Linked DNA regions of Cricetulus griseus. The protein of the gene in region 5 purifies or fractionates together with the protein of the main gene of each other region. This does not show direct contact. Links are inferred from orthologs where the notes say so. Each region holds a gene or a part of one and is shown on either strand. Other genes may lie near its edges. The genes, in order: Eps15, Ap1g2, Ap1m2, Ap1s2, Ap1b1 and Ap1s1.

Region 1 (4,167 bases), on a different chromosome or scaffold from region 5:
TTAACTTAAAAAAAAAAAAATTAAACCTAGCAGACGTGGGTATAACTGAATTTGAGGCCTGCCTGGTCTACAAAGTCCCAGGCAGCCAAGGCCATGGTTGCGCTATATAGTGAGACTGTCTCAGAACACACACACACACACACACACACACACACACACACACACACACACACACACACACACACACACACACACACACACACACGTTAAAAACCAGGGGCTGTAGAGACTTAACTCTGGTTAAGACCACTTATTGCTCTTGCAGAGAACTCAGGTTGGGTTCCCAACACCCACATGATGGTTTATAACCATCCATAACTCTAGCTGCAGGGGATTTGACACCCTTTTCTGACTTACATGGGCACCAGGCATGCACATGCCAACATATACATATATACATGCAGGCAAAACATTCATATACATTAATTAACTCGATCTAAGAACCACAAATTTACTAGATTTTTTTTTTTGGGGGGGGGAGTTGTTTGTTGTTTGGTTTGGTTTTTGGAGACAGGGTTTCTCTGTAGCTTTGGAGCCTGTCCTGGAACTCAATTTGTAGACAAGGCTGGCCTTGAACTCACAGAGATCGGCTTGTCTCTGCCTCCCAAGTGCTGGGATTAAAGACATACACCACCAACGCCAGGCTAAATTTACTAGGTTTCAAAGGAAGACACATTAGTAAATATTTAAAAACAGTTTTCTTCTGTGCCTTTACAATATAATCTCACTGAATCTTGGTATTTTAATATCAAAATATTCTAAATTGACTTATTTGAATTATTAATATAAATTCAAACACTGGATACTAAAGTTCAATTCCCCTTATTGATTCAGCATTTATTCTGCATACATGTTAACACCTAAATATATAACCACAAGAACATATGTAAATTGTGAAAGTGACTATAAAAGTAAGAGCCTGAAGCAAATTTCCAGAGATGAATGATAGTAAACAGAAACTAAAAACACAGTCCCATCCAAGGAGAAAATCAAGTAGGCACACAACTAAGAAGTCTTCAAGGGAACGAATTCTTTAAGAGGGGAAACTGCCAGAATTAGCCAACAGAGTCAGAACAGACTGCCAACAGAGATCATGTTTAAGGCAGGTCACTAACTAGACTAAGAAAGTCAACACCCAAAAGTCAATGTTTCCATTCCCCAAATTTGAGTTTCAGAATGATCGTTCCAAACAGATTAATGACCAAGACTAGACCAGTTAAAGGCTCTATCTTAAAAGTTTTCCCTGTTATCTGCTGATCAAAACATAATGACCCACAGGAAATAAATGTGCAGTGAGGTTTGTGAGGCTATTCCTGTACACTGAAACTCTTTTACCTGAAGAGATGTGTGGGGGGGGGCACGGAGACAGAGACTATATATATTATATATAATATATATAATCACTTTTTCTGGGCATGTGGCTTAGTTGGTAGAGTACCTGCCTAGCCGTCATGAAGTCCTGGGTTTGATCCCTAGCAATAAATAAACTTAGTATAGTGGCCCAGCCTATAATCCCAGCACTTGGGAAATGGAGGCAGAATGAGCCAAAATTCAATTTATTCTTGACTACTCACTGAGTTCAAGGACAGCCTGGTCTACATGAAACCCTGTCTCAAAGTAAGTAAAATCTCCATCCTGGTCCCTAGGGAAGATACTTTTTTTCTTTTCTATCCAAAAATGCTAGGGGGAAAAGAAAAAGAAAAAATCATAAGACTCCTTCATCGTAACACAGTAAGAGTCTACTGTCCAAACACATGCCCTACCTTAGTGTAAAAACTTTAGCTTAAGTCAAGTAAATCTAGGCCGAAGAGACAAGATGGAAGGGAGCTATCACAGGGCAGGCTGTAAAGCTGAGGTGGGCAGTTACCAGCTCTGGGGAGGACAAACTTCTGGGCAGTTAAGATGGATGGAATGGCAGGTGTATGGCACCTCACTCTCCTGGATGTCGGATTGCTCTTGGGTTTAAAGAAACGGAGAACTCCGGCTCTCCTGAGTGAATATGTTCAAGAGTTCCCTATGAAACTCTAGGACTTGACTATGAAGGAAAACGGGGGTGGGGGGGGACGAAATAGCGAGACGGGGGAGCGATTCAGAGAGATCGAAAACAGCTTTTGGATGAAATCGTCCTAGGACAAAGTTATGTCCCCCGGGGGATCCCAGACGGCGAAGGACAGGGCCACCCCACCTGCTGAAGGCTGGCGCTGTTACCCACTGGGTCGGCGATCCGAGACTGCCCCGCACGGGTGGGAAAGTCTGCAAGGGGATCTGAGCAGAAGTTAACCTGCCAGGAGGGAGAGGCGCGAGTGGGGCAAGTACCTGGGCAGGCTGCGACTTCTGGAAGCGAGGATGACTCGGGGAGCCGGGGGGATCTCGGCAGCGGTCACTCCCGCACGCCAAAGCCGAGCAAAGCTGAGGGAACCCCGCTCCGCCGAGGGCGAGCCTCGCACTGCGCGAGCCCTACGGGAGTTCACCTGGCGGCCGTCAGGCCCGCAGAGAAACTTCCCGAGAGCGTGAGCGCTGACGGGACCGGGAGGGGAGCGGAGCGGAGACCCGCGGAGGCGGCAGGGTGGGAGCCGCGCGGGGCGGAGCCGTGCGCCCGGCGACCCGGGCGGGGCGCGGCGGCCGCGCCTCGGGGCGGGGGCGCGCCCGCGCTCCTCACGCGCTCCGCCGAGCGCGCCCCGGGGCGCCGCCGCGCCAGCGCGAGAGCGGTGGGGAGGGCTGGGGAAACCCGGCGGGTCGACCCGGGCGGACCGGCGGGCGGCGTTACCTGTGTCAGGGAGAGCTGGGCTGCCGCAGCCATGGTGTTTCCATCATGCCACGGGAAGAAGGAAGGACGGGCGGACGGGGGCCCGGGGCGGGAAGGAGGCGGAGGGACAGGCCGTAGGCGAGGCCGGCGGCCGGGCGTCTCCCCGAACTTCGACAACTTCCCTCCTCACGCCGCCCCGCCCCGCCCCGCCCCGCCGCCGCCCCGCCCCACAGGCCGCGGCGGCGCGCAAAGCCCGGCGCGGGTGTCTGGGGCGCGGAACCAGGCCCTGACCCCGGCCGCCCTGGAAAACCCGGTGCGGATGGCGCACCGGGCGGACTGGCGGCGGAGGCGGCCCCCACAGAGACCTGAGAAGTTGAGACAAAACGCCTACCTTTCTGGGCTGCTGTTCCTGAAAAGTGCGGGAAAATATACCCAGGTCCAGGTGGGTTGTGGGAACTACGAGAGTAATGGTACTAAGTAATGATAGCAATGGTTTAGCAATAATAATATTAAACTATACTAATTTATGTGCGATTGGCTCTGCACTAAATGCTTTAATTTTTTGTTTGCTTGCTTTTGAGACATGGTGTCTCTATGTAGCCTCAAGCTGGCTTCGAACTCACAGAGATCCACCTGCCTCTGCCTCCAGAGTGCTGGGATTAAAGGTGTGCGCTACCACTCCAGTCCTAAAAGCCCTTTTGTTGTTTTTGTTGTTGTTGTTGTTTGTGTTTTTGTTTTTCAAGACAGGTTTTTCTCCGTGTAGTCCTGCTATCCTGTAACTTGCTTTGTAGGCCAGGCTGGCCTCAAACTCACAGAGGTATGCCTGCCTCTGCCTCACCACCACCCGGCTTTTTTCTTTTCTTTTCTTTTCTTTTCTTTCTTTCTTTCTTTCTTTTTTAATTGCGTGACTAGAGGATTTGAAACAGAAAAAAAAAAAAAAACTATACAAATGAGGAAGATGAAACCCAGCTGGGCATGGTGGCACATCTCTGTGAGCTTCCCAACAGTCCTGGTCTACATAGTGAGTTCCAGAACAGCCAAGGATACATAGGTGATACATACGACCCTGTCTGAAATTTAAAAAAAAAAAAAAAGGAACACCCCTCCAAAAAAAGAAATTATCTTACCTGAAGTCAAACATCTGACTAAAAAGCCAGATTACAGTTTAACTCCAAGGCCTTTCTACCTGCTGTCATGTTGAAAATGAAGGCAAGTAATAAATCCTTTCCTCCTAAAGCCAAAATCTGGGGAGCAGGACAAGACTACTTCCCTTGTCTGCTACCTTTCTCTCTTAGAGTGTTCACTTAAAAACAAATGTGTAGGACCACAGTGCAGTTCAGTGGTACCTGTGTGCACAAAGCCCTGGTCCCATCCCAAATTCACTTCTTGGCAAGGTATCTCCTCTCCAAACCAGTGTACAC
Region 2 (4,241 bases), about 110 Mb from region 5:
GCTAAGTTCTTGCCTAACTTGATCCTTCCCCGAGGGAGAAAAGGGGAGTGAACAGCAGAAAACTCCCTAGATGTTCCCTGTCCTTTGCTCCTCAGCCAGTCCCTCTCCCAACCCCCAAGGATGGCATGCTGTGCCAAGTGCAATGTGAAAAGCAACAAAAACTATTTGGTGCACCAAGCCCACTCCTCTCAGACTCTGCCACTCACCTCTCTATCCTTTTCTGCCCCCTAAAAATTTATTTGGTTGGTCTGGACTCACTTGTGGCCTTTGATTAAATTCCTAAGGGGCCTGAAGAAGACACTTCTGCCGAGGGTTAGAGGCACGGGAGCAATCGAAGACTCCGCTCCTCAGTTCTGGCAGTTGTGGGGAGCACTTCTAGAGGATAGAGCCAAGTCAGATAAGAGCCGGAAGGGCAGCAGAAGCTGCAACAAGTCTAGTTGTTTCCAGCCCATCACATCAGAGTCCTGTGAGATGGGAACACAAAGGGGAGTCAGAGGAAGCAATGTCTCCCACACTTCCCAGGCAGGGCAGAGGTGGGCGGGCGCCAACCCCAGGTGAGAAGTGGGTGAAGAAGAGCCCTGTTTGAGATATGGCTGATCCCTGTTACTAGCTTTTCCTCTGGGGACAGAAAGCTCTACAAGAGGAAACTGTAGAGCCCAGGGGAACTTTCCTTCCCTGCATGAGGCAGAGGCAAGCTGCCTGCCAACCCCCTTCCTCAAGGAATGGCCTTGCCCGGGAATGCCCACCACACACACTCTTCTTATTTTTCTAGTCAACCTCTGTTTACTCCCTGGCCTGCCTTCCTCCTCCCTCCCTTCTCAACCTTTACTTCTGATTTCTATATCATGGAATTTGGGATTGACGTTATACAACAGTGCCGCCAACACAAGTCTTGCAGGAAAAAAAAATACAAAGAAATTTAACAAAAAAAAAGTATATTAATAAAAAAGTTCCAAAAAGGGGGGGACTGTTATCTCCTTTGGAGTGCGATGGTTTCAAATTCAAGCTGAGTGTCACCTGATGGGTGGGTAATAAAGGAGGCCCCTTGGGGAGCCACAGTTCTGTAACAACTCGAGGCTCCTTCCCAAAGTTCCAAAGACTGAGGCCAGAGGTCAGAAATCTCAAGGCTGCTCAGTCTTGCAGCTCTAGAGGGGCGGGGTCCCGTAGTAGAGGCGGGGAAGAGGGAAGGACAGAGACCAACCACCAAGCCCAGCCGCGTCCTATACCAGGAAGTGCTGGGTGGGGGTAGAGAAGCAGAGTTGACACCGAAGCCAGGTGAGGTTGGGACCGGGAAACTGATACCTCCTGAGATGGGAAGGGGAGCAGGGAATCTCGCAAAAGAAATAGTTCAGGGATCCAGAAGGAAAACTAGAGGTAAGAAACTTGTCGGGGAAGGAAAGCAAGAAAGGGACTGGGCTTTAGCGCAGGCTCAGTAGAAAAAGACACGGGGTGGGGCGAGGACGCATGCGTAGTGGGGATGTCCTTGCGAGGTAGGATGGTCGCTCTCGGTTCCAGGTGGGAGGTAAATGTGGGCACAGTTTTAGGATGGTGGTGTGACTCAAGCCCTTGAAGATCTTGGCACAGAGCAATTCTAGCTATCTGGCTGGAATGGGTTAAAGCCTTTCCACTCTCGGGCTCTGCCCCCAGGATGGTGGTGCCTTCGTTGAAACTTCAGGACCTAATCGAAGAGATACGCGGGGCCAAGACTCAGGCCCAGGAACGGGAAGTGATTCAGAAGGAGTGTGCTCAAATTCGGGCCTCCTTCCGCGATGGGGACCCTCTGCAGAGGCATCGCCAGCTGGCCAAATTGCTCTACGTCCACATGTTGGGCTACCCCGCCCACTTTGGACAGGTACTGACCCGGGATAGCTACAAAACTTGAGGAAGATGATCAATGGGCCCCTTTGTGTATTTGTATCCCGTTTGCTTCTTTCTCTAGTTTTTGTTTTGTTTTGAGACAGGTTGTCTATGTAGCCTAGGCTAGCTTAGAACTGGCGAAAATCCCTCCCTCGGTTTCAGTGTTGGGATTTTCAGGCATACCACATTCCGCCCAGCTAAATCCTTTAGTTTCTGAGCCTTTTATCCATTACTCTACTAGCCAGCCCCGTTCTTAGCACCTTCCCAGCCTCCACTCCTACACAGGTCCCTGAAGCCTGCCTGCCATCATCTGGATCTCCAATTAAGCCTCTGGTTAAAGAGAGGGTGATGAAATTTGATTTCCTCACAAGTTAATCTGGCCTTAAGGAGGAGGATGCCGCAAAATTAGTGCTGTGGTTTCACACTACTCTTCCTGGCCTGCCTCCTTCCCTGTAGATGGAGTGCCTGAAACTGATCGCCTCCCCCAGATTCACAGACAAGAGGGTGGGCTACCTTGGGGCCATGCTTCTATTGGATGAGAGGCACGATGCCCATCTGCTCATTACCAACAGCATCAAGAAGTGAGAGGGCTCTGGGGTGCTTCAAATCAGGGCGTTGGGAGAGTGGGAACCGCAAAATCCCAGAGGGCTGCCTGCTATCAGTACTGGGAAGAACTGGTTTCCCCTGGCTTGACTGACCGTCCTTCCAAACCCTACAGTGACCTGAGCCAAGGGATTCAGCCAGTTCAGGGTCTGGCCCTGTGTACTCTCAGCACCATGGGCTCTGCTGAGATGTGCCGAGACCTAGCCACCGAGGTGGAGAAGCTGCTCCTGCAGCCTAGCCCCTATGTACGAAAGAAGGTGAGATGTAGACCTCTAGACATCTGCCTCTTCAGAAGGTGTTCCCAATCTGCCACATAGGAGAGGTGCGGAGTCTGACTTACTTGGTGGCCCTATCTGAGGCCCTTGACTTCTGCAGGCTGTTTTGACCGCTGTGCATATGATCCGGAAGGACCCCGAGCTCTCCAGCGTCTTCCTCCCACCTTGTGCCAAACTGCTCCATGAGCGCCATCATGGTAAGGGCACAGGGCTCTCCACTGTCCACTTCAGGTCTGGCTATGGATAGATGAAATGAAAAGCAAATCAGGAAGCCCTGCTCATCGGACAAGGGTGGTGCACACATACAAACACACGTGTAGTAGACTGTCCCATGGCCTGGCCCGCCATTCACTGCCCCACCCTGACCCCAGGCATCCTGCTGGGCACCACCACGCTGATCACGGAGCTCTGTGAAAGAAATCCTGCAGCCCTCAGGCACTTTCGCAAGGTGGGCTAGTGAAGGGGCAGGCCGTGGGGCAGGCAAAGGCGGGAGGTGGGTGAAGAATCGGGGCTGATGGTTGAGAAGAGAGGAGGTACCCTCAGACAAGGCTGCCTGTGCCCTTCTTCCAGGTGGTACCCCAGCTGGTACAGATCCTCCGGACTCTAGTGACAACAGGATACTCAACAGAGCATAGCATCTGTGGAGTCAGTGATCCCTTCTTACAGGTAAGCTGAGATGTACTTGTATCCCTGGAACAGCAAAGGCTTCACAGGAAGACCATGGCTGGTAGTCACTTTCCATTTTGGCACAGTCCAACTGGCAAGCTCATGATTGCTCTAGTCATCCTAGGACTGGGGATAGGGAATCAAAGGTAGCTACCAAAAAGTCAGAAAATCCAGTTTGGTAACCATATAAAAAGCCTGTTCCAAAGCCGGGTGTGGTGACACATGCCTTTAGTCCTAGCACTTGGGAGGCAGACAGAGGCAGGCGGATTTATGCAAGTTCAAGACCAGCCTGGTCTACAAAGCAAGTTCTAGGATATCCAGGGCTACACAGAGAAACCGTGTCTCGAAAAACAAATCAAAAAAGGCCTGTTCCAACCCCCCCTGACTCTACACAACTCTGATCTCCTCCCAGGGTCCAGGGATCTGTTGGGTGGGGGCGTGCTGGGAGTCAGAACCCTCGGTGTTGCCCACAGTGTTAGGTGTTTTCACTTCAGGCCCACGACATTATCCTATAAACCTTCTAATCCAATCTCAGGTCCAGATACTTCGTCTGCTTCGAATCCTGGGACGGAACCATGAAGAAAGCAGTGAGGCCATGAATGACTTGCTGGCCCAGGTAAGAGGCACCCCTTCGGCATGTGGTTCCTTAGGGTCCATCAGCCCTGGACTTTCCTCACATGACCATTTATTATTCAGAAGTCTCCTAAACCAATGAATTCCGTGAAGGAAGGATATAGTCTGTCATTGTTCTATCACCCTAGTGTACAGGCAGTTCTTACATAGAGTAGGGATCAGGGAACTTTGTTAGGGGCAGAAGGACAGAGAAGAGAGAACATAGTA
Region 3 (3,500 bases), on a different chromosome or scaffold from region 5:
AAGGTAGAGGTCAGCAGACTGGGAGGGGCCAGAGGGTGAGGGGTGGACATAATTAATGCATCATGTGTCTTCGTAGAGCATCTACTGCTGTCAATAGACACCATGACCATGGCAACTCTTTTTTTTTTTTTTTAAAGATTTTATTTATTTATTTATTATGTATACAACATTCTGCTTCCATGTATATCTGCACACCAGAAGAGGGCACCATAGCTCATAACAGATGGTTGTGAGCCACTACATGGTTGCTGGGAATTGAACTCAGGACCTCTGGAAGAGCAGTCGGTGCTCTTAACCTCTGAGCCATCTCTTTAGCCCTGACCATGGCAACTCTTATAAAGGAAAACATTTAACTGAGATGGCAGCTTATAGTTCAGAGGTTTAATCCAATATCACCATCATGAGACATGGCATTGTGCAGTGAGATCTTGCTTCAAAAAAAAAAATAGAGGGGCTGGAGAGATGGCTCAGTGGCTAAGAACATTGGCTACTCTTCCAGAGGATTCCAGTTTGATTCTCAGCACCCACATGGAGGCTCACAACTATCCATGGCTCCAGTTCCAGGGGATCCAGTGCCCTCTTCCAGTCTCTGTGGGCACCAGGCAGGCAAACTCTGCAAATCAGACATACATGCAGGCAAAACAGCCACACAAAAATTAAGGGAAAAGGGGGTTAAAAACAAACAGAAACCTCATGCCCAGCCAGGAGCCTTGCTGGGCAGAAGGCGCCATGGAACCTCTGCTGAGAAAGCCTTCCTCTAGAGCTCACCTTGACCATGATCTCCACTCGGCTGTGGGAGAATTTCTCAATGACTGACTCAATCCAGATCAGGGGCTTGACCTGCCGGCAGACAAGAAGGCAGTTCTCAGACTCTGATGTCAGCCCTTGGTCCACTACCCACCATCTCCTTTGTGCTGGGCTCCCGGGCTCACCTGGGTGCTGAGGCGATAGGACATGAGTTCAAAGTCCCCATCCGGGGGGATGAAGGAGATGGTGCGGTCATTGTCAAAGCGTGAAAGCCTCACACACTGGTGGAATTTCACATCTTCCAGTTCCACAGACTTGTTCTTGCTGCCTGCAACTCGGAGTGGAGCAAGCAAAGTGACCCTGGGGCTGAGGAGAGCACTCAGCCCCACCATCCCTACTGGCTGCTACCTTCTGTAGGTCTGCCGAGGAAGCCCAGGGCCTGGGCTGAGTGGTGGTGGTGGTGGGGGGGCTGAAACAAGCCCAGAGTCTGCCTCCCACCCCTACGCTTCTGTTTTCTGCTTTAATTTTATTTGGAGTTTTTTGTTTTCTAAAAATTGTGGTAGGGTTTTATTTTATTTTATTTTATTTTATTTTATTTTATTTTTTTGAGACAGGGTCTAACGTAATCTTGGCTGTCCTGAAATTCCATTTGTAGACCAGGTCAGCTTCCCAATCACAGAAATCTGCCTACCTCTACCTCTTAGGTAGTGGGATTAAACACATGAGCCACCTCGCATGACAAAAATTTTAGTACTTTTAATTAGATGGAGGTTTGTGTGTTTGGATGATTGTATGTGTATGCATCTGCTGGAGGCCAAAACACGGTGCCAGAGCTCCTGGCACTGGGATTGTGAATGGTTGTAAGCCACTGGCTATAGGTGCTGGGAACTGAACTCTGCAGGTGCAAGAAGTGCCCTGAGTCACTGGGCTGCCTCTCCAGGCCCTTCTTTCTCCTTTGTGTGCATATGTGTCCTGTAAGTATATTGCACGTATGCATGTACTATATGGATTCATGTGTAAACTCCCTAACTTCTTCCCTAAATTATTATTACATGTATTTATTTACTTGGAGGTGGGGCATGCTGGTCCTAGTGCAAGTGGAGGTCAGAAAACAATTTATAGAAGTCAGCTCTCTCTCCACCAAGTGGGTCCTAGGGATGGAACTCAGATGGTCAGGTTTGCTGGCAATCTCACTGAGCCACGGCCCTTTTTATGCTTAACATTGCTGTGGGTTTGTCTAATGTGTGTGAGCATGGCTACATGGCTGCCATCCTTCTCCCCTCCCATCTTGCCAAAGATCAGGTCACTTGTTTCTCTTCTCTCATGTCATCCAATCTAGCTAGCCTACAAGCTTCTGCAAGATTTTCCTGTCTCTGCCTCCACTAAGTATAGGATTGCTTAGACTTCTTGGGGCTATAGAGATGGTTCAGTGGTTAAGAGCACTGACTGCTCTTGTAAAGGATCTAGGTTCAATTCCCTGCACCCACATGGGGGCTGACAACCTTCTATATATAACTAACTCCAGTCCCTGGGAATCTGACACCCTCCTCTGGCTTTTCTGGGCACTGCACACACATGGTACACATACATATATACATACATACATATATACATACTTACATACATACATACATACAGGCAAAATACCCACAAATAATAAACAAGTAAACACATAAATAAATGAAATCTTTAAAAGGAATGCTGAGATTTCAGATGCATACCAGCACTTCCAAGTTTTTCTGCCTGGGTTTAGGGATCTCATTCAGGTCGTTGTGTTTGTGGCCAAGTAATTTCCCTGCTGAGTCTTCTCTCTGGCCCTCTGTTTTATCTTTTAACACAGGGTGTCTCATTCAACCTGGAGAACTGGCAAACAGGGCTGGCCAGAGCACTCTGGGGTCTCCTGCCTTACTCCTCCAGTATGACAGAACAGATAAACACCACCATGCCCACTCTTTGTATTTTATTTTTGGGGACAGGGTTCTACCATGTAACCTTGGCTGTCCTGGAACTTGTTATGTAGATCAGACTGACCTGACAGAGATCTGTCTGCTCTGCCTTCTACATGCTGGGATTAAAGGCATGCACCACTACAGCCTGGCTTCTATGCCTTTTTTTGTTTTTGTTTTTTTACTTTATATGCTTTAATATTTTGCCTGTATGTATGCCTGTGTGAAGACATCAGATCTCGGAGTTACAGAGATATGAGCTTCCATCTGAGTGCTGGGAATTGAACCTGGGTCTCCTGGAAGAGCAGCCAGTGCTCTTTTTAACTGATGAGCCATCTCTCCAGTCCCCTATGCCTGCTTTTTTGTTTGTTTTCTTTTTCCAGACAGGGTTTCTCTGGCAAACAGGGCTGGCCAGAGCACTCTGGGGTCTCCTGCCTTACTCCTCCAGTATGACAGAACAGATAAACACCACCATGCCCACTCTTTGTATTTTATTTTTGGGGACAGGGTTCTACCATGTAACCTTGTCTGCCTTGGAACTCACTCTGTAGACCAGGCTGGGCTCAAACTCACAGAGATCCACCTGCCTCTGCCTCCCTGAATTGCTGGGATTAAAGGTGTGCACCATCATTGCCCTGCTATACCTGCTTTTTATTTGTGTTCTAGGGATCTAAACTTAGGTCTTTATGTTGGTGTGCAGGTACTGTACTAGCTGAGCCAATTCTTCGGTTCCTTTTCTTTCTCATTTGTATCATTTCTGCTTTTGTTTCTTTTGTGTTGGTGTGATGTTTTGAGATGGGGTCTTAT
Region 4 (4,290 bases), on a different chromosome or scaffold from region 5:
CTGAGCAGGGAAAACACATCACCTGATAATAACAAAATACATGGTTAAGTGGGAAGTAAATGAAGTTTTCAGTATGAAATGCGAGGGAGCCTATAGAAAAACATTATACACTCTGTATTTTATATATGAAACATCTCAATAAAGCTATTTTTCTTTTTGTTAATTCCAAATTTCATTTGAAAAAAAACTTTGATCTAAATATCAGATCAGGTTGGAGTTCTCTTTTATCATTTCTGAAAAAGGTAGGGAGATCACCAGAATAGGCTGAGCGACAAGTCTACGAGCTCCAACCTGCTGTTTCCTTTTCTTCCTCTGAATGGCCCCATTCATGGGCTTGTTCTCTTGCTAGGATTTTCCTCCTCCACACGGGGGACTCCTTTCACTATCTAGAAATAAGCTTAAACTTCTCACATCTTTTATAAACCCTATCCAGGATTCCAGAATACAGATCTAGCCAGCAGTTACCACCTCTTCTGTCCTTGGCAAAGCTCTCCCAAATACTCTACACATGCGGTTTCAACTTCTCTATCTTCACCTCGTTATATCACGAATTCTGTCTCTACTCCACTGACAATGTTCTGGCAACAGGGCAATGCATGAAGTGCTTACTCTTAAGATTCTAAGAGCTGTTCACTTTTACTGAATTTCATGAACAGCTGGCATTAGTGTTTTACTCTCAAATTTATCTGCTCCTGGGCTTTACTTACCTAACATCACTCCTTTGCTTCTTTCTCATTTTGATCTGCAAGCCTCCTCTTTAGCCCTTCCATCTGCACCTGAATGCTAGTGATCTAATACTTTAAGTTTAATTGTCACCTTCAAGTTCCATGCCTATGCCCACCACATCCCATCAGAGAGCCAAGTGAACAAATATGGCCATATCAACTTGTCACCAAATTAACTGAATTCTCTAGCTTACCTTTCATCCCATAAGCCAAACTCTAGAAATGGAGGTGCCTCCACTGTACTCCCTCTTTCCTTGGTTGCTATCTCTGCTTCTTGGGGTGGCCAAGTCTACTGAGACTTACCTAGGTAACAGGTCTCCTTTCCAGCCTCTCAGCTCAGGACCCAATTATCATGCAGTCCCTCACTGATCCTGCAGGTGCCAGTCTCAGCCCCTTTCACTCCCCCAGCCAAGGTTTCACAGCAATCTTTTCAAAAATGCAAATCTAATCTTTATTTCTTCCCACATCTGTTTAAAACCATTGCCTCTACACTTAAGACAAGTTGTAGCCCCATGCCCATCACTAGTATATGACCTTGGGCCAAACCACTATTCACAAATTCTCATCTTTTATAAATTGAAATTTGAACAGTAACTGTTTTTCAAATTGAAGACCTCTCTCTAGTGCAGAGAGCAGAGGCCAATTGAGCCAGGGCACAGCTTCTTATTTTTCATTCCACAAAAGCAACTGTATTTCTACTTGTTTTAGTCAAGACTCTATCCCTGTCAAAAAGATATATATTTTGTGTGTGAGAGTGTGTACGTGTAGATTGTTCTAAGGCATTTCCCAGCTTTCAAATGCTATGATTTTCCTATGATCTTTCTCAACCAGTACCAAGCCAAACACTGAATTTAAAAAACCACCCAGACTGATGAAATTCATTATGAAATAAAGATAAGTCTAAAGCACCTAAGAGGGTTTTATGTCCTATAAATCTCATTTCTTACTCTGTCACCTCCTCCACCACAAAGCCCATCCATACTTGGAATGTTGTATCAGAAAATAGAAGAAAACATGATTTCTTTCCACCTTCATTGCATTTCCTACTGTTAGTTTTCTGTACACTCCCCATACAAGAGTGTTTTATATGAAGAAATGCTTTTATCTTAAATTCAGTAAATTATTCAAAAAAGACCAAAAATGGGAAAGAAACAAGAAATGTTCCCTCTAAAAACAGTCTATAATATAAAATAAAGATGTATAGCATTAAAGAAAAAAACTGTGTAAAAAGCTAATCTATAAGTTATTTTGCAACATCACTTTTAAAAAAAATCTATCCTTGGTAAAATTATCATATCTAAGCAGAACTCCGCCATAGCAACAAGTCTATTTGAAATTAAAAATACTACTAGCAAAGAGATCTTGTATAGACACAAGTACTTAAACATCTGTATAGTGAAATGGTCTATGTGCTCAGGGTCTTTATAAGTAAGATTAATATAGAAGTCAGATAAAAGGAATGCCAAATATCAGCTACTTGATAAATCTTTATAGATTTTTTGGAAGGATTATCACACTATTATCTATGCATGCCCATTATTTATCAAATTACTTAAAAATTTAAAATAGTGTCCCTACTACCCCTGTAATGAAATGAATTCATTGAATTTTTCTAAAATGTTGACCAAGCACAAATAATTGTTTGGCTGTAATTATATAATTAATTTAATAATGATTACCCTGCTGCTAGCATTTTAGCTTTAGGCAAGCAATCAAAACAGCCATTATTTTTAAAAGGAAAGTTTTCCTTTAAACTAACTTATTTCATTGAAATATTTGTTAATCCTTGTTGATTGACATAAAAAGTCTGCAGTTTTCTCATTAGAGATAAACCTAATGTTTGATCATATTTCACCTTTCTGATAAATACAAAAATGATACCTCTTATAAACAATCTTCAGATCTCTCCACTCAAGGAAGCTACACATCTTAGGTTTCCGAGCTAAAACCGTTTGAACAAGTTCTCTTGTGATCTTCTTCTTCTCTTTGTCTGAGAGTGGGACATACCACTTCTGCAGCCGAAGCTTTCCCTGACGACTAAAAAGCAACATAAACTGCATCTGTTAAGATAAATAAAATCAAGATTACATACAATTACCTAGGAATTAAGAGTTAAGATCACATGGTTTTTCAGAGCTGCTTTGGGGATACAGAAAATACCCAGCCAAATGATTAGTAAGCCATCAACACATCTATTCAGGCTATAATAGCAGGAAATTCTTTTGGCAAGATCTTCTTACTATATGTAGGTAAGTGTAGAAGAGAGTGTATGGCAAGAAGAACAGGTGGGAATTTGGAGTGAAATTTTTGAAGAACTCTGATTATTTAAGAAACAATTTTCTCCTTGTGCTACACATTCCACACTATATGCATCAAAAGGCAACTGTAGACATCAGGTAGTTGATTTAGGTACTACCCCGAGACTATTCTAGTTCCAGGCTGAATTTCTTGCAGCCAGACTGATTATCACTTAAAGCACTCCCCTCAATTTATGCTAACATATGTAAGCAAAACAGAATATTAATCAAAAAGATCTCACAAACAACACATTTTCTTAACAAAAGCCTGATTTTTATGTTTGCATTTCACTTTTGTAAGATCTAACACAAATAAGCACTGGAGAACTGAATTAATGTAAAATGTGAAAGAGAATAATACAAGTCTGAAAGGCTTAACCAAAAGTTATTTATATTGAGACACTGCAGAGAATACTTAATTTAAAAACAAAATTTGAGACATTTCACAAAATACTTATTTTAAAATAAAAATATATTTGAATATATGCTGGATTCTAGTGTGTTTTGTACACACTAGACGGTAATTTGTATGTATTTACTTAGCATTTGCATGTCTGTTGGTCAGGCTACATTTTCTAAGGCAGGTATTTTATAATTCAACTGGTAAAAAGGAGCTCTATTGTAAAGCTAATTTGAAGGTAAATTCGGTTAGGTGTTCTCTTTTAACCCTTTTAAGTTCCTTTAACAGCACCAGCCAGTGCAAGTAAGACCCCAAGGCAGATCTTAATATTCACCACACCACCTTAAATTTGAACACCGGGAGGAGGAATTTACGTAACTAATATAAAATCAAACTGGCTCTAAATTTCGACAGGAAATTCACTTCGTAATATCCCCAAAAGGCTTCAAGAAAACATGCGGAAATTTATGGCGTAGCCATTTAACTTTAATGAAGTTAAAATTGGCTATTACCCACAACACGCTATATAATTCATTGATAGCAAAGTGCCGCCCATATAAGTTCTGAAGACAGCAGCATTCGAAGAGGACGACAAGTAAAGCATCAACTGGACATTCAACGCAAACCGTTACTAGAACTTGGGGAAGGAAACGACTGGGTTTTCTCAAATCTTGGTGACCAGGAGAGAGGGTTTGCTAACGACAGGAGTGCGCTCTAGGCTATCTGTAGCAGGGTCCAGCATCCGCCCTACCACTTTGGAGGACCAGGAAACCACGCATTTTCCTTAAAACAAATGATGTGCTAACATGGGACGAAAACCGTGGCAGAAGTATTCCTTTTCCCTCGCTTTGATTTTGCCGCAAATCCC
Region 5 (2,448 bases):
AGATGTAAATTACCACCACCTCAGCTAACACCACAGCCCCACCCACCAGCGCCAAGGTCACCAGAATTGGGAGGTAGTGTCTACAGGGCCACACCTACCAGGCAAGGGTGCATGGAGGAAGCAAAGCCTGGGAACTCTAGGCCTGGGAACAGCAGTGCAGTTTACAGAATATCCAGACCACCCTGAAGGTGTCCTCTGATAGCTCTGATTTAAGGTCTAGAGGCACGAGCTGCTGAGAATCAGTGTGCCCCTAGCCAGGCACTCAGGCACCCATATGGCAGCAGGGCCAAAGCCTGTAGCCAGTGATACTATTTCCCTATCTGAGTATATGTGTTTATATCCCTTGGTGTCTTATCTGGGTAACTTGAGGGGGTTGAGCTGAAGTTTCTAAACGTTCAAAGAACCAATTCTCACACCAGGCTCAGAGATTGTGGCAGAGTGACACCCATCACCATTTTTTAACAGCCCAGACTAGAAATGCTGACTGGGGAAGTGCCGCCAGGGCAGGGAGGTAGAGGGTCAAGACCTGAGTGGGAACAGGGGTTCTCACCGTCAAGCTGGGGTTGCCTGGCTGGATCCGTAGCTCCGCCAGTACCCAGATGCCGTTGGTCAACTTCAGAGACTGGTAGAGCATGTCCTGGCCCTCCACGCTCCTCTTGGCCACAGTGAAGATGTTACTGCTCTGCAGCTTGTTGCTTGCAGCCTCTGCAGGGTCAGACAGCCATGGGAGGCCCACATTCGGTGGATACAGGGAGAGAATTAGTGGGACACTGGGGGCAGGGCTTACCTGTGTTGAGTGGACAGTCTCTGATCTGGAACTGGGCTTCATTCTCGTTGGGAATGTCTTTCCATGTGGCCAAGAACATCTGCCGGTCTGCAGGGTGAGGAGGATTGGGTGAGAGATGGGACCCTGATAATCTGTACCCCTCAGCATCACATGGCAGGAAATGGGTCTGGTCTCCAGTGTGCCACCTGAGTGAAGCACTGGCTCTTCCACAGTTCCATCTGCTTCAGCTCACAAGGACACAGGCCTGCTCTTAAGTGCCCTCTGCTTCCTGCTTCTCCTCTCCTTTAGCCTACATCTGACCTCATCTTCTTCCACCTCTGTGGAGCCTGCTCCTTAGACATGGCTCTGTGGCAAGGATGATGAGATGCCACACACAGCCCAGGTCCAGCTTTCCCTGCATCCTTCTTGGGGTCCTGACTCCAGTACTGAGGAGACGGCGGACACCAGGTATGGTGACTGGTTCTTTGCAGCCCATGGGGCAAGCTGAAGGGTGAGCAGCAAGGCTCACAAGGAAGGTGGCATAGGCCACCTGCAAGCCAGAGATGGGGCCCTTAGGATTTGCCAAAGATCCCATCATAAGGCAAAGCTTGTTAATCCTTATTATAAGCACTAGCCTTCTCAGGTTCCCTAGCTTCAGTCCCATTGCACAAATCCCCAGGGCCCTTCACAACTCACCCATCTTCCCATCCTCCACAAAGAGGACATGCAGTGGGTATAAGGTGCTGAAGTAGAAGACATCAATGTTGTTCTTCACAGCCACCTAGGCATGGGGGTCCCCAGTCAGTCTCCAAGGCTTGACACCCTGATTCTTGGGCTTATACCACCTCTGAGACCCCACAGGCTTTCTCATAGAACCCTCCCTTGTAGCCATGCCCTTTTGTCCCCTTGCCCAGGTTCCATGTGCAACCAAGAGCACAATTCTCTATCAGGCCTTCCACAGATATGGCTAACATCCACCCCAGGACTGAGCATGAGTAGAAATGGGGTGCTGGCCCTGTGGGGACACACCTGAAGATTGTTCAGAGGCTCCATCTTCATGACTGAGCCCACTGTGTTGAGAGGCAGGGAGAGCTCCACAGTCTGGTTGGGACTGAGCGGCGCATGCACCTGGAGTGGTGCAGCAGGGGCCAAGCCAAAGCTGAAGAAAGAGAGAAGCCCCCACAGGGGTGCCAGGGGAGTGGGTACTGACATGGGATAGGCTGGCTCTTTGTGCTCTGGAGTGGGGTGAGAGGTGATGGACAAAGAACTCCTTCATCAAGTAAGCTTTTCCCAAACTCATGACCTTCCCTGCTCTACTGGCCATGTAGACAGGAGGCAAGAATCTGAGACCAGCACTACACTCCAGTCTGGTTAAGGCAGGCTAACCTCTGCCGCTGTTTATCTTAGTGCTGGATCCTGATAGGTCAGGCGGCATATCCTTGCCCTTTTCTTTAGGACCTAACCCAGTACCAGCGGTCTGGACTTCATGCTTCTCAATGGAAAACTCTGACAGTCTAGGTATTTAGTGTTTAGACCCCTAACTCAAGAGGGATCTGACCACCCCCAGCAAAGACAAGATTTCGCTGTCTGGCCTGGAACTGGCCATGCTACACAAACACCACAGGTTCAGGAAAGTCCTGCCTTTCTTTCTAGGTAAGTAAACTGGGAAGGCTGCTTCAGTA
Region 6 (3,944 bases), on a different chromosome or scaffold from region 5:
TTGGAGCTCTCCCCGACTTCAGAGAGACAGAGTTATTTCTCAGTCGTTTTAACCCAGTGTGAACTCCAGAGCAATTCATGTACACTGAAAACAATAAATGGATGGAGTGTCACCTTTTATAGACAACTTTGAGGTCCCTCCACTCCAGGAAGCTGCACATCTTGGGCTTTCGAGCCAGCACAACCTGCATGAGCTCCCGGACCATTTTCTTCCTCTCCTTGTCCGAGGTGGCCAGGTACCATTTTTGCAGCCGAAGTTTCCCCTGCCGGCTGAACAGTAGCATGAATCGCATCTGGAAGGGAGGAAGGACCAGAGCTGAGGGGCAGAGAATGGGTTTGGAGCCTCTTTCCTTGCATGAGCGCAAAGCCCCAGACTCAGCGGTATTCACCACTACCTTCTTCAAAACTTCTGTCCCAGCTGGGTAGAGAAGAAGAATGTTCTTCCTGAGGGAAAGTCAAGCCTGCTGTGTGGGTTCCAATCCTGGCCCTAGTAGCTGAATACAACCTCAGGCAAATTAATTTATACTGGGCCAGCAAGATAGCTAAATTGGTGCTTGCTATTAAGCCTGAGTTCAATACCCATGACCCAAATTACAGAAGAGAACTGACTCCCACGAGCTGTCCTTTAACCTCTACACTCTTGCCATGGCAAGCACACATCCACACAAATAATAAGCACAAAAACATTTTATTACGTGTGTGTGTGTGTGTGTGTGTGTGTGTGTGTGTGTGTGTGTGTGTGTAGTTCAGAGGATAGCTTTTGGGAACTGGATCTCTGCTTCTACAATGTGAGCTCCAGGAATCAAATTTAGATACCCAAGCCTTGGCAGCAAGTGCCTTTGTCTGCTGATCTATCTTACTGGCTTTGTAAAAAAAAAAAAAAAAAAGTCTTTGAACCTCAGTTTCTTTACTCGAAAGACAGAAACCATAAAATTACCTTCCTTATAGAATTCTTTTAAGATTTGCTTTTCTTATTTTTTAAAGATTTATTTTACTTTATGTGTATGAAATACTCAATACTCACATGCATACATGTATGTGTCACACACATGCCTGTTGATACCCCAGAACCAGGGTTATAGATGGTTATAAGTCACCATGTGGGTGACAGGAACCAAACCCAGGTCCTCAGCAAGAGCAACACATGCTCTTAAGCACTGAGCCCTCTCTCTAGCCCACTACTATTTTTAGTTATGTGTAAGTTTATGTTGTGTGTCTATATACTGGGTATGTGCAGATGAGTGCAGGTGCCCATGCAGGCCAGAGGCATCAGATCAGGAGCTACAGAAGGTTGTGAGCTGCCTGATATACGTGTTGGGAACTGAACTGGTTCTTCTGGAAGAGCAGCAAGTACTCTCAATGACTTAGGCATCTTTCCTGCATTAAGGAATTCTTTTTTTTTCTTTGCTTTTTTTTTGGTTTTTCGAGACAGAGTTTCTCTGTGTAGCTTTGGAGCCTATCCTGGCACTCGCTCTGGAGACCAGGCTGGCCTCGAACTCACAGAGATCCGCCTGCCTCTGCCTCCATAGTGCTAGGATTAAAGGTGTGTGCCACCAACGCCCAGCTATTTAAAATTTTTAAGGACAGTTCTCTCCTTCCACTGTGAGGACTCCAGGGATTGAATTCAGGTTGTCAAGTACCTTTAGAAGCTGAGCCATCTCTCTGGCCCTCTTCTCTTTCTTTCTTTCTTTTTTTTTTTTTTTTGAGACAGGGCTTCATGTAGCTCAGGCTGACCTATATTTCATATGTAGCCAAGGCTGCCCTTGATTTTCTGATCCTCCTGAGTGCCTGGGTTACGGGTCCCAGACACCAGATCACGAAGTCCCTCACAGAGAGTCCAGTGACCCCGATGGCTCTCCTAGGGAATGTCTGTGGAATGAGAGTCCTCATTGCTTCCTGGATCTAGTTTCTTCCCAGTTGCAGGGGGCTCTTGCTTCCAAAACCTGAACTCAATTCCCAGCAAACAGATCTGTGAACACGGCCAGGGCTGGAATCTCTGGGTGTGTGCGGCAATTCAGCTTCCAGGCCATCAATTAAAAGGAACAAAGACCCCCAGAAAGCAGGGGCGGTGGCTGGTGGGGGCCAGGGGATGTGAAGAACTGAGGGAGCCGAGTGCGGGCAGGAAGACGGAAGGCCTGGGCTGGGGAAGGAAACTGGACCGCGGTGGTGGGAAGGTGGGAACGGCAGAGTCGGCGCGTCCTCCAGAGCCCAGGCTCCCCGACTACGGAGTCGGGGGTCAGCTGTGGAGACCCGGAAACCGCCCCTGCCTCCCTCCCGCCTCCCTCCTGCCGCACCGTGCGCTCAGGCGCGGGCCTCCCGGAGGGGGCTCGGCCACCGCGACCCCCGGGGATCCCGGGGCCCCTCTCCGCGGGTGGCTCCCCCGCCACGGCGCCCGGGGCGTCTCCAGGACAGGACCCCGTGTCCCGAACGCTGACCCTGCTCGGGACAGTCCCGCCACCCTGCAGCCCAACCAACGAGACTCCTCCCCGCCCCTGTCCCGAGTGCCATTTCCAGCTCCCGAGGTCGGCTCGCCCAGCCGCTCCGGGAAGTGGATCCTCAGCGGACCACAGGGAAGACAGGGCGACTCCCACCAAACGCTGCCCCCTCCGGACCCCCGCAGGTACAGCCCACGCCCCTCGGGTCCCCCGTCCCCTCCCTCTCAGCACTGCCTACCATCCTGCAGCCTCCGGCCCGGCACGTCCCTCTCCGGCCACCGTAGGAGCCCGCTCCGCGGCCCGTCGGATTCTTTTCTTTTCCCTCCCTCTCCGCCTGAAGCCCCGCCCCCCGGCCTCGCCGGCTCCCCCGCGCGGCCGCATTGCGCAGGCGCCAGCGCTGCCGCGCTCTCCCCCTCCCGGTCCCACCCAGAGGCGGGAGGGGCTGAAGGCGGAGAAGCGGAAACCATGGCAACCAGGTCCTTGACTTCAGCTTTGCAGAAGCTCGGTTGTCATGGTAACAAGGCTGTCCTGGTGGGCTGATTGGAGGATGGGAAGGGCGGAGGTAGGGGACAACGAGGGCCTTGAGCTCTGGAGCATTTGTAGGGGGGGAAAGGCGGGAAAAGGGTGAGAGGTGGATGCTCGATCTTTAGAGTTTATGAAGAAGCAAGGATGATTCCGGGAGCTGAACACGGTGTGCAGAAAAGGAGGAAAACATCACTCAAAGCGGGGTGGTGCGGGAACAGAGTTCAAGATCAGCTCAGGGCTACACAACAATATTCTGTCCCCAAACAAGCAAGGCAGGCGCGGTGGTGTACACCTGTGATTCCAACGCTTTGAAGGCAGACAGACAGGAGCAAATTGTAGCTCAAGTTCAGCCTCAGCTAAGTGGCGTGCTCGAGAGAGCCTATCTTAAGCAAAGTGACACAAAACAGTGCCGGTGTGATGGCTCCAATCATAGAGATGCCCCCCCCCCCATAGAAGGTGAAAGGGAATGACTGACCCTGCAAGCTGTCCTGACATCCACACAGTCAAGTACCCTGGTTTGTACATGCTCCCACGCAACACAAAATACATATATGAAATGTAACCTTAAAAATTTTAAATACCCGGGCGTTGGTGGCACATGCCTTTAATCCCAGCACTCGGGAAGCAGAGGCATCAAGGCCAGCCTGGTCTCCAGAGCGAGTTCCAGGACATCCATGGATACACAGAGAAACCCTGTTTCGAGAAACAAAACAAAACCAAAAAAGTAAAACAGTATAGAGCTTTAGTGTTGAGAACTTATTAGATGCAAGTGTCTTTTTTTGTTTATATATAATACATATATATATAGTGTGTGTGTGTGTGTGTGTGTGTGTGTGTAACTGGATGTGAGGGTATACACCTGTAATACTGTAGTTTGGAAAGCAGATGTAGACAGATCAGAATCAGAGTTCAAAGTTATCCTTGGCTACATAACAAGTTCACATTCTGGGCTGAGGCACTGTGTCAAAACAAAAAACAAAACCCC

Evidence for each region.
Region 1: the proteins of Ap1b1 (region 5) and Eps15 purify together in Homo sapiens (affinity purification with mass spectrometry; 3 studies listed by BioGRID and IntAct, with this or other methods). This does not show direct contact. The link is inferred for Cricetulus griseus from reciprocal best matches to the Homo sapiens genes AP1B1 and EPS15.
Region 2: the proteins of Ap1b1 (region 5) and Ap1g2 fractionate together in Homo sapiens (co-fractionation; 3 studies listed by BioGRID and IntAct, with this or other methods). This does not show direct contact. The link is inferred for Cricetulus griseus from reciprocal best matches to the Homo sapiens genes AP1B1 and AP1G2.
Region 3: the proteins of Ap1b1 (region 5) and Ap1m2 purify together in Homo sapiens (affinity purification with mass spectrometry; 3 studies listed by BioGRID and IntAct, counting the BioPlex papers as one, with this or other methods). This does not show direct contact. The link is inferred for Cricetulus griseus from reciprocal best matches to the Homo sapiens genes AP1B1 and AP1M2.
Region 4: the proteins of Ap1b1 (region 5) and Ap1s2 purify together in Homo sapiens (affinity purification with mass spectrometry; 5 studies listed by BioGRID and IntAct, counting the BioPlex papers as one, with this or other methods). This does not show direct contact. The link is inferred for Cricetulus griseus from reciprocal best matches to the Homo sapiens genes AP1B1 and AP1S2.
Region 6: the proteins of Ap1b1 (region 5) and Ap1s1 fractionate together in Homo sapiens (co-fractionation; 6 studies listed by BioGRID and IntAct, with this or other methods). This does not show direct contact. The link is inferred for Cricetulus griseus from reciprocal best matches to the Homo sapiens genes AP1B1 and AP1S1.

The regions. Positions count from the first base shown.
Region 1 is NC_048595.1:40,533,908-40,538,074, forward strand, and holds the start of Eps15 (epidermal growth factor receptor substrate 15), read right to left. Parts: upstream 2,801-4,167; coding exon 2,768-2,800; intron 1-2,767. Other genes in the region: uncharacterized protein LOC103159787, read left to right, coding at 2,799-3,188. UniProt on the Homo sapiens protein: Involved in cell growth regulation. May be involved in the regulation of mitogenic signals and control of cell proliferation. Involved in the internalization of ligand-inducible receptors of the receptor tyrosine kinase (RTK) type, in particular EGFR.
Region 2 is NW_023276807.1:210,295,848-210,300,088, reverse strand, and holds the start of Ap1g2 (AP-1 complex subunit gamma-like 2), read left to right. Parts: upstream 1-1,441; 5' UTR 1,442-1,464; coding exon 1,465-1,490; intron 1,491-1,647; coding exon 1,648-1,852; intron 1,853-2,313; coding exon 2,314-2,438; intron 2,439-2,575; coding exon 2,576-2,717; intron 2,718-2,835; coding exon 2,836-2,932; intron 2,933-3,106; coding exon 3,107-3,183; intron 3,184-3,305; coding exon 3,306-3,401; intron 3,402-3,936; coding exon 3,937-4,017; intron 4,018-4,241.
Region 3 is NC_048597.1:134,156,971-134,160,470, forward strand, and holds part of Ap1m2 (AP-1 complex subunit mu-2), read right to left. Parts: intron 1,082-3,500; coding exon 933-1,081; intron 841-932; coding exon 769-840; intron 1-768. UniProt on the Homo sapiens protein: Subunit of clathrin-associated adaptor protein complex 1 that plays a role in protein sorting in the trans-Golgi network (TGN) and endosomes.
Region 4 is NC_048604.1:98,735,147-98,739,436, reverse strand, and holds the start of Ap1s2 (AP-1 complex subunit sigma-2), read right to left. Parts: upstream 2,801-4,290; 5' UTR 2,786-2,800; coding exon 2,607-2,785; intron 1-2,606. UniProt on the Homo sapiens protein: Subunit of clathrin-associated adaptor protein complex 1 that plays a role in protein sorting in the late-Golgi/trans-Golgi network (TGN) and/or endosomes.
Region 5 is NW_023276807.1:99,858,484-99,860,931, forward strand, and holds part of Ap1b1 (AP-1 complex subunit beta-1), read right to left. Parts: intron 1,926-2,448; coding exon 1,796-1,925; intron 1,548-1,795; coding exon 1,463-1,547; intron 875-1,462; coding exon 788-874; intron 706-787; coding exon 551-705; intron 1-550. UniProt on the Homo sapiens protein: Subunit of clathrin-associated adaptor protein complex 1 that plays a role in protein sorting in the late-Golgi/trans-Golgi network (TGN) and/or endosomes.
Region 6 is NC_048597.1:115,987,426-115,991,369, forward strand, and holds the start of Ap1s1 (AP-1 complex subunit sigma-1A), read right to left. Parts: upstream 2,801-3,944; 5' UTR 2,676-2,800; coding exon 2,673-2,675; intron 293-2,672; coding exon 114-292; intron 1-113. UniProt on the Homo sapiens protein: Subunit of clathrin-associated adaptor protein complex 1 that plays a role in protein sorting in the late-Golgi/trans-Golgi network (TGN) and/or endosomes.